Callithrix jacchus: one gene and its partner. The protein of the gene in region 2 interacts with the protein of the main gene of each other region in a biochemical or structural test. Links are inferred from orthologs where the notes say so. Each region holds a gene or a part of one and is shown on either strand. Other genes may lie near its edges. The genes, in order: EPM2A and NHLRC1.

Region 1 (4,434 bases), about 140 Mb from region 2:
AGCACTTTCCCAGTGATATGGTTTGGATTTGTGTCCCCAGTGTTGGAAGGGGAGCCTGGTGAGAGGTGAGTGAATCATGGGGGTGGACTTCCTCCTTACTGTTTTTGTGAGAGTTCTTATGAGAGCTGGTTGTTTAAAAGTGTGTAGCACTTCCTCCTTCTCTCTCTCTTCCCCCTGCTCCAACCATGTAGGAAGTGACTGCTTCCCCTTTGCCTTCTGCCATGTTTGTAAGTTTCCTGGGGCCTCCCAAGCCATGTTTCCTATATAGCCTGGAGAACCGTGACTCAATTAAACCTCTTTATAAATTACTCAGTCTTAGGCCATTCTTTATAGTAATGCAAGAGCAACTAATACAGAAAATTCGAACTGGGAAGAGGTGCATTGCTATAAAGATACCTGAAAAAGTGGAAGCAGCTTTGGAATCAGGTGTTAGGGAGAGGATGGGACAGTTTGGAGGACTCAAAGGAAGACAGGCAGATGAAGGAAAGTTTGGAACCTCCTAGCGACTTGTGAATATTTGTGACCAAAATGCTGACAATGATATGGCTGAGGCGGTCTCAGACAGAGATGAAGAACTTATTGGGAACTAGAGTAAACGTCACTCATATTATGCTTTAGCACAGAGACTGGCAACATTGCAGCCCTGCTCTAGAAATCTGTGGAAATCTAACTTGAGAAAGATGATTTAGGGTATCTGGTGGAAGAAATTTCTAAGCAGCAAAGCATTCGAGATGTGCTCTGGCTGCTTCTAACAGCATATGCTCAAATCTATGAGCAAAGAGACATACTTAAAAGGGAAGCAGAGCATAAAAGCTTGGAAAATGTGCAGCTTTGCCATGTGGTAGAAAAGAAAAATCCATTTTCAAGGAGGAACTCAAGCTGGCTGTAAAAATTTGCATAAGTAAACAGGAGTTGTATGTTAATAGCCAAGACAATGGAGAAAAGGCCTGGAAGACATTTCAGAGACCTCCATAGCAGCCCCTCTCACCACAGACCTGGAGAGAAAAGGGGATTCATGGGTCCAAGGCCCCACCGCTCTGGACAACCTCTTACTATGAATAATAGTAAGCCCCTTTAAAGGAAGGATAAACTGAAGAATAAATGCTACCAGACTAAAAGCCCAGTGGGGTACAAAAAGAGAACAAGGATAATATATAAATATATTTCAGCCAAATCTTCTTTACAGATTATTTCTACATTATTACAAGCTAAATGGTCCATTTTTTACATATCAACATCTCAAGAGACACTCATTTCGTTGACTTCAACTACTGAGTCACACCCACTCCAGTCTTCAACCTTGCACATTTCCTTTAAAGAAATGGGCTGCCTCAATTCAGACATTGTTGGTGGGAACCGATATTAGTATCACCTTTTCAGGGCATAATTTAGCAGTCCTTATTGAAGTATTAAAAAAAAAAAAAAAGACTACATTTTGACCTAATAATTTCACTTCTTTGAATCTACTCTGCAGAAACATTCCCAAATGTTCAAAGATAACCTGCAAAAGGAATTTCAATTAAGCTACTACTGTCTATAACAGAAAACTGAAAAGAACCTAAATGCACATTGGTAGATGCAGAATAATATGTTACCATTTAAAATATATATCTACATGTAAAATAAAGATGTCCCCAACATATTGTTCCGCAAGAAAAGAAAAAATTCAGAATGAGATATAATTTTTGTTAAAAAAAAAAAAGTATATGCATGTATCACATACATAAATGTATACAGGCAGTGTACTTAAGATGCGTGCAGGAAACACTAAGTTTTCACTATGTATATTTCTTTATCATCATTATTATTATTCTACAACCAGCATGTATTGTTTTAGTATTTTAAGAAGTCAGGTCAAGTCTCAATTGTCATATACCTGGGATTAAAAAAGAAAAAAATCCAATATTCAACGTCTTTCCATTAGTTCATTCTCAAAATAAGAAAAAAAAATCTATACAGTAAGTAACACGTTGCAGTCTAGGATTAGCGAAAATGCTAGTTTCGCTGGTTGGATCGTTTTTTTAGTGAACTAGGACAGGAAAATGAGGACACAGAAACCAACTAAGGCGGAGTTGGGCAGCGAAGCCGTTCGGCGGCGCGCGGCCGGGCAGCCCAGGGACCCGCGCAAGGAGGACTCGGAGGGCTAAGGGGCCCCGGGCGGGAGACGAAGGGCACCGGCCCCTGACGCAGGCGCGGTTGGAAAGAAACTGTGGACTGGGTGTGCGGAAACCAGGTCAGAGAGGCGAGCAACCAAGGGGGCGGGAAGGCGGGCGGGAGCGCTGTACGGGTCTAGGGAACCAGTAGGAAGCCGGAGGCGCGGCTGGCGGCGACACCGTAGCCCGCAGAGCAGGGTCAGCCCGGGGCGCTCGGCGAGTGCCCAGGGACGCGGGCAAGGAGCCCGGGACGCGCGCCGCGGGGGCCTGCGGGGCCCGCCCGAGGCCGAGGCCGAGCTCCCGCTCCGTGCCCGGGGCCCGGGGCCGGCGCACATTGCCAGTACCTTCCCAGGAGAGCTCTCCTCCCGGCTCCCGCTTCAGGAACTTGTACCAGAACGTGTCCACGCGTCCCGGCTCCGCCCCGTCCTGCGCCGCCTCCTCGGCCACCAGCTCCACCTCCCCAATCCAAAGGCCCGGCTCCTGCAGCGCCCGCGACCCGGCGCCCGCCGCGGTGCCCGCGGGTCTCATGAGCACGGCCCCTCCCGGCTCCCAGCGCCCCAGCTCGGGCCGCGACCCCACGACCAGCAGCTCTGGCCGGGCGCCAGCCACGGCGGGCGGCACCACCACCCCGAAGCGGAAGCGCATGGCGGGCGGCCTGCGACGCGAATCCCCGGGCCCCGAGTTTCAGCGGCCGGCAGGCGCTGCCTGAGCGCGAGGCGGCCACGGCGATTGGGCGGCGGCGCGGGAGGCCCGGGCACAGCCGGGAACACGTGCTGTTCTGCGCCTTCTTTGGGCTGCATCACGCGGCCCCCGAGCCCAGGCTGCGTCCGGGCCGGCGGGAAGGGGTCCGCCAGCCGCCTCTTTGTGCACCGCAGCCCCGCGGGCGGCTGATTTCCACTTGCGGGCGCTGGGGAAGCGGCTAGCGGAAGAAAAGGAAGAGAAAACGGGGTTCGGGAAGGGAGGAAATCTTCTAAGCCAGGCAGTCGTCCAGTCCTCTTTCCAAGAGACTGGAAATTAACTTTACGAGGATCATGAGGAAAGAAATGGCCTCCAGACAGCAGCCTCCTAATTGTGAAACGGGGGAAGATCTTGGACCGGTCTCTGGAGCGCTCCACGCCTTAACCAAGTCACTTTTCTCATGGGTCTCAGGTTCTTTATCTGTAAAATGAGGGTATAAAATAATCTTTTCAAATCCTACCGGCTCTAATGGATATCTGATTGGTGGAGACAACCCAATGGTTGCAACAACCCAGAGCTGATGCAAAACATTACATACCATTCCCCTGTCTGAAAAGCCACACGATCACCTTCTTTTTTCAAAAAGTATTATATTTTTAGTATGTGTAAAGTAAGTTTGGAGTAAATACTTTCAAGTACTTTTGAAGGTCAAAACAAAAACTAATTCTGTGACTGTAAATGTATGCATTTTTTAATGGAGTAATTATTTTTTTAAAGCCCTTTGTTTAAAATTTACTTTCAATAAGCCAGCACTAGTCTTTCAGCTTAAAACCTTTTTGGGTCAAGAAACAGAGATTTTTTTAGTTGTCTGGCCAAAACCTAAAATACTATATATCTTGGTCGGGGAACTTCAATTTGTCGCTGCCATCAGACAAATGTCCTGATAGTTTTATATTCTTTAATAAAGTTATCCTTGTATTCTTATGTTTATGTATTCGCTAACATTTAACAACATGAATCCGTGATGTGAATTAAAGACACAGGCATTTTTACCAGTATTTGGAATTTTGTGAATAGCAAGGGGTGGGGGGGGGAAAGGCCAAAGTTTTATGCGTTGAGAATATCATAAGTAAAACAGAAAGTGAAAAAAATGTAAACTACACAAACACAATCTCTTGTGGAACACCTAGAAAACTTACAATACAGTTCACTCTTGCATATTGACATTCCACTCAAAGTTTGATTGGTTGCTAAGCTTAAGGATAAACACTGTGAACAATGTGAAGACAGAAAGGCTGGCCAAACACAACTGATTGAGTAGCAAATCAGACATTATTAAATCACAGTGGCATGTGAGTCGGTTTATGCAAATTGCTGTTACAAGATATTCTTAGAGTAAGTTTAGAAAAGTGAGAGTCATTTGGCGATGCAGAGAGGATTGTGTCTGCAGTGGAATCCAGACTCCAGTGAAAGTTTTTATTCCTCAGGACCCGGGAGCTGACAGCTCCAGACTTGCTTTTGCTCCACTGTGCTGCCTATGTTGTGTGCCTCCCAAATGGCATTATTCCCACCAGCTCTTCCAGAGTGAGTTCTGCCCGTTCTG
Region 2 (4,469 bases):
GTACTCCAGGTGACAGAGCAAGACCATGTCTAGAAACAAACAACCCATAAACGTGTAACATAAACAGGTAACAGGGACATATGACACTAGTATGTAGAGTGTTCTGCAATAATATAGGCCTAGGCTGGGTGCTGTGGCTCATGCCGGTAATCCCAGCAGTTTGGGAGGCCAATGTGTGTGGATCATGAGGTCAGGAGTTCAAGACCAGGCTGGCCAAAATGGTGAACGTTGTTTCTACTAAAAATACAAAAAAAAAAAAAAAAAATTAAGCTGGGCATGGTGACAGGTGCCTGTAATCCCAGCTACTCAGGAGGCTGAGGCAGAGAATTGCTTGAACCCAAGAGGTAAAGGTTGCAGTGAGCCAAGATCGCACCACTGCACACCAGCCTGGGCGACAGAGAAAGACTCTGTCTCACCCACACACACACACACACATCACCACCACCACCAACACAAACAACAACAACAACAACAACAACAAAAATAGGCCTTTCTCAAACAACCAAGTGGTATTTTCTGAGTTTGTATAGTAGAGAAGATATAGGCATTAAAAGACATGTTTATCTTTTTAATAAGTAGTTCGATTGTTTTTCTTATTCATGTATCTCAGGATCAATAGTAACTTCATCTAATGTGCCATCAGAGCACTTGCAAGCGGAATGAAAGTGATGCCCACCACAAAATCCTTTTTCTCCTGAACTCTCCGTAAAGTCTCTCTCTTTGCACATCCTCGTGATAGAATAATTAGCTACTTGTAAAGAGAGTACATATAGCAACACTATACATTTACGCATTTTCCCCGCATCTGTTATCTTATTTAAGGGCAATTTATTTGAAGTCAGAATTGAATTCAAATTGTGACTACTGTAGTAAGTAACTGTGGCCTGGGGAAGTCACGTAAGCTCTCTGGGTCTCAGTTTTCTCACTTGTACAAGGAGATTACTAATAAAAATTATGGCTGTGCAAGGTGGCTATGCCTGTACTCTTAGTACTTTGGGAGACCGAGGAAGGTGGATTGCCTGAGCTCAGGAGTTTGAGACCAGCCTGGGCAACAGGGTAAAACCCCACCTTTACTAAAATACAAAAATTGGCTGGGTGTGGTAGTGCACGCCTTTGGTCTCAGCTACTTGGAAGCCTGAGGTGGAAGGATCACCTGACCCAGGGAAGTTGAAACTGTAGTGAGCCGTGATCATGTTACTGCCCTCCAACCTGGGTGACAGAGCTTAACTCTATCTCAGAAAAAAAAAAAAAAAAATTACCTCACTGGGTAGCATGGATTAAATAAACTAATATTTGCAAATTTCCTTGCACAGAGTATCCATTCAATAAATGGTAGCTTAATCTCTAATAATTGTCTCCAGCTTTGTAAGTCTGCCAGACAGTTTTAATTATCCCTCTTTGGATAGATGAGTTTAAGTGACTTTTCCAGGGTTAAACAATTCATTAATGGCAGCACTAGTGCTTTTGATTCCAAGGCCCCACCCAGCCCATCACCCCCAGTCAACTTTGTAGACTTTTATAGAGTGAGATGCTGTGTCCAGCACAAGAAGAGAATTCTCCTTGGTGAAGGTAAGAGCCACAGGATGAGAAAGACCATGAGTGACCATGGGCTTTGGTACTGGAAACTCCTCAGGTTTTCCTAAGCAAAGGACAGCTGGACCAGATGTATCTGCAACAATCACATTTCCCTGGTGATCAAAGGTTACAGCTGAGGCAGTTATTTTGGAGGGAAAGTAGAGGCTCAGCCCAAAGGTATCCACCTGGCTAACGAGCTGCATACTTGAGCTAAACACTTTCACCCTGGTGCTGCAGACCCCACTCCCCAGGGCCAGGGGGTGCTCCAGGACTGCAATGGCCCCGGTGAGCCAAGACACTGCCACCCCACGGGGATTGCACAGATGAGCTTGCAACCTTTCAGTTCTCCGAAGGACCCCTTCGGGGAAGTCGACATCCAGAAGGTGCAGGGACCCTACCTCCGCATCAGTTACCACAATCCCATTCTGAGGGGTGGTCTCCACACCCCATGGTAAGGAGAATTGGCCTCCAATGACAAGCTTGATCTGGCCAAAAAAATCAAACACTTTGATGGAGCGATCTCCCGCGTCAGTGACAACCACATGGCAGTCGTTGGTGACGGTGACATCCACAGGGTACCTAATGTCTTGGGCAGCGTCCCCCTTCTCTCCAAACTGATGCGCGCATCCTCCCCCGGAGTCAAAAATCTTGACACGCCTCTTGCCGTCGTGCACCACCACGACCCGCCCCGTCTTGGGACAAAGCGCCAGTCCGGTAGGGTTGACCAGAGTCCCCCAGCCACCGAAGGCGTGGTGGCAGGTGAGGGCTCCGGGGGCGCTGGGGGCGGCGCGGTGGGCGGCAGGGGACTGGCGAAGCGCCGAGCCCAGGAGCTCTATGAGGTGCAGCACCGGCAAGCAGTCGCTGGTGTCGCAGCCCCGGCAGGCTCGCCTGCAGAATGGGCACTCGAGGGCCAGCGTGCGCGGGTGCGCCAGGGCGGCCACGCAGGCCAGGCAGACCACGTGGCCGCAGGACAGGTTGCGCGGGCGCCGCTGCTGCCGGTGGCCAAACCTCTCAAAGCACACCTTGCACTCGAGCAGGCTGATCTCCGCCTCGCGCATGAGCTCCTGCAGCTCCGGCCGGCTCCCCGAGGCTTCGGCCCCCATGGCGGGTCCTGCGCACTCCCGCGGCGCCGCCCGGCTGTGCCCCAGCGACGCCCTCGGTCACGGTCACAGTCACGGTCACGGGGTCGGGCGTGCGCCCTGACGTCGAGCGCCGCGGGCCTCTGCACTGCGATCTGCTGCCCCTTGGTGGCCACGCGCGGCACTGTTTCCCGGGGGCCTGGTCGTGGACGTTTGCAAGACAAATCCACATGCGCGTTAAGACCTGTAATCGTCACAGCAGTCATGGATGGATTGGGTACACTTTCAGATGAGGAAACACATCTACTGAGGACAACCGGATTGCTCCCTGTTACTCCGTCTGGAGGCGGCAGAACAAGAACTAGAACCCAGGCTTCCCACCCGGGTGCCTAGCAGTGTCTCCAATCTGCAGCGCTGGGTGCTGGGGCTGTCCGGGCATAAAACATGGTCCCTTAGCTCGTCATGCTTATGATCTGAACCGGAAAACACCGACACACGAGAGAAGATAAGCTCCAAGGGAGGTAAGGCAGATGTGCATATTTTCTTTTGTGTCTTCTATCACACTCGTTAAGTCAATGTTAAATGAATACACACTTGTAGAATGAATTTGTGCATTAATGAAGGAATGTTATAGAGCAAAAACATCCACTAGGTGAATGAGTGTCAGATGGGGGAACCATGGCTCGGAGTGTCTTGCAGAGTAATTAATATGAAATAAGAAAGCTGTTAGTTAATAATAATTACCATAGAACATATATATATAAAGAAGTTTATATATAAAGAATATATATATATTTTATTGTGTTTTAGGTTTTGGGGTACATGTGAAGAACATGCAAGATTGTTGCATAGGTACACACGTGGCAGTGTGATTTGCTGCCTTCCTCCCCATCACCTATATCTGGCGTTTCTCCCCATGCTATTTCTCCCAACCACCCACAGCCCCCTGTCCCTCCCTTAGCCCCTGCCAACAGTCCTCAATGTGTGATGCTCCCCTCCCTGTGTCCATGTGTTCTCATTATTCGACACCCGCCTATGAGTGAGAACATGCTGTGTTTTATTTTCTGTTCATGTGTCAGTTTGCTGAGAATGATGGTTTCCAGGTTCATCCATGTCCCTACAAAGGACATGAACTTATCATTTTTTATGGCTGCATAGTACTCCATGGTGTATATGTGCCACATTTTCCCTCTCCAGTCTATCATCGATGGGCATTTGGGTTGGTTCCAGGTCTTTGCTATTGTAAACTGTGCTGCAATGAACACTCATGTGCATGTGTCCTTACAGTAGAATGATTTATAATCCTTTGGATATATACCCGGTAATGGGATTGCTGGGTCAAATGAAATTTCTATTTCTAGGTCCTTGAGGAATCACCACACTGTCTTCCACAATGGTTGAACTAATTTACACTCCCACCAACAGTGTAAAAGTGTTCCTATTTCTCCACATCCTTTCCAGCATCTGTTGTGTCTAGGTTTTTTTAATGATCACCATTCTAACTGGCGTGAGATGGTATCTCAATGTAGTTTTGATTTGCATTTCTCTAATGATGAGTGATGTTGAGCATTTTTTCATAAGTTTGTTGGCCTCATATTGTAAAGTGTCTGCCTTCTTTTGTAAAGTGTCTGTTCATATCCTTTGCCCACTTTTGAATGGGCTTGTTTGTTTTTTTGCTTGTACATCTGTTTTAGTTCTTTGTAGATTCTGGATATTAGCCCTTTGTCAGATGGGTAGATTGCAAAAAAATTTTCCCATTCTGTTAGTTGCCAATTCACTCTAATGATTGTTTCTTTTGCTGTGCAGAAGCTCTGG

The links.
Region 1: the proteins of NHLRC1 (region 2) and EPM2A form a complex in vitro, tested with the Homo sapiens proteins (3 studies listed by BioGRID, with this or other methods). The link is inferred for Callithrix jacchus from reciprocal best matches to the Homo sapiens genes NHLRC1 and EPM2A.

The regions. Positions count from the first base shown.
Region 1 is NC_133505.1:152,513,196-152,517,629, forward strand, and holds the start of EPM2A (laforin), read right to left. Parts: upstream 2,840-4,434; 5' UTR 2,799-2,839; coding exon 2,498-2,798; intron 1-2,497. UniProt on the Homo sapiens protein: Plays an important role in preventing glycogen hyperphosphorylation and the formation of insoluble aggregates, via its activity as glycogen phosphatase, and by promoting the ubiquitination of proteins involved in glycogen metabolism via its interaction with the E3 ubiquitin ligase NHLRC1/malin.
Region 2 is NC_133505.1:12,710,297-12,714,765, reverse strand, and holds NHLRC1 (E3 ubiquitin-protein ligase NHLRC1), read right to left. Parts: upstream 2,756-4,469; 5' UTR 2,679-2,755; coding exon 1,491-2,678; 3' UTR 548-1,490; downstream 1-547. UniProt on the Homo sapiens protein: E3 ubiquitin-protein ligase. Together with the phosphatase EPM2A/laforin, appears to be involved in the clearance of toxic polyglucosan and protein aggregates via multiple pathways.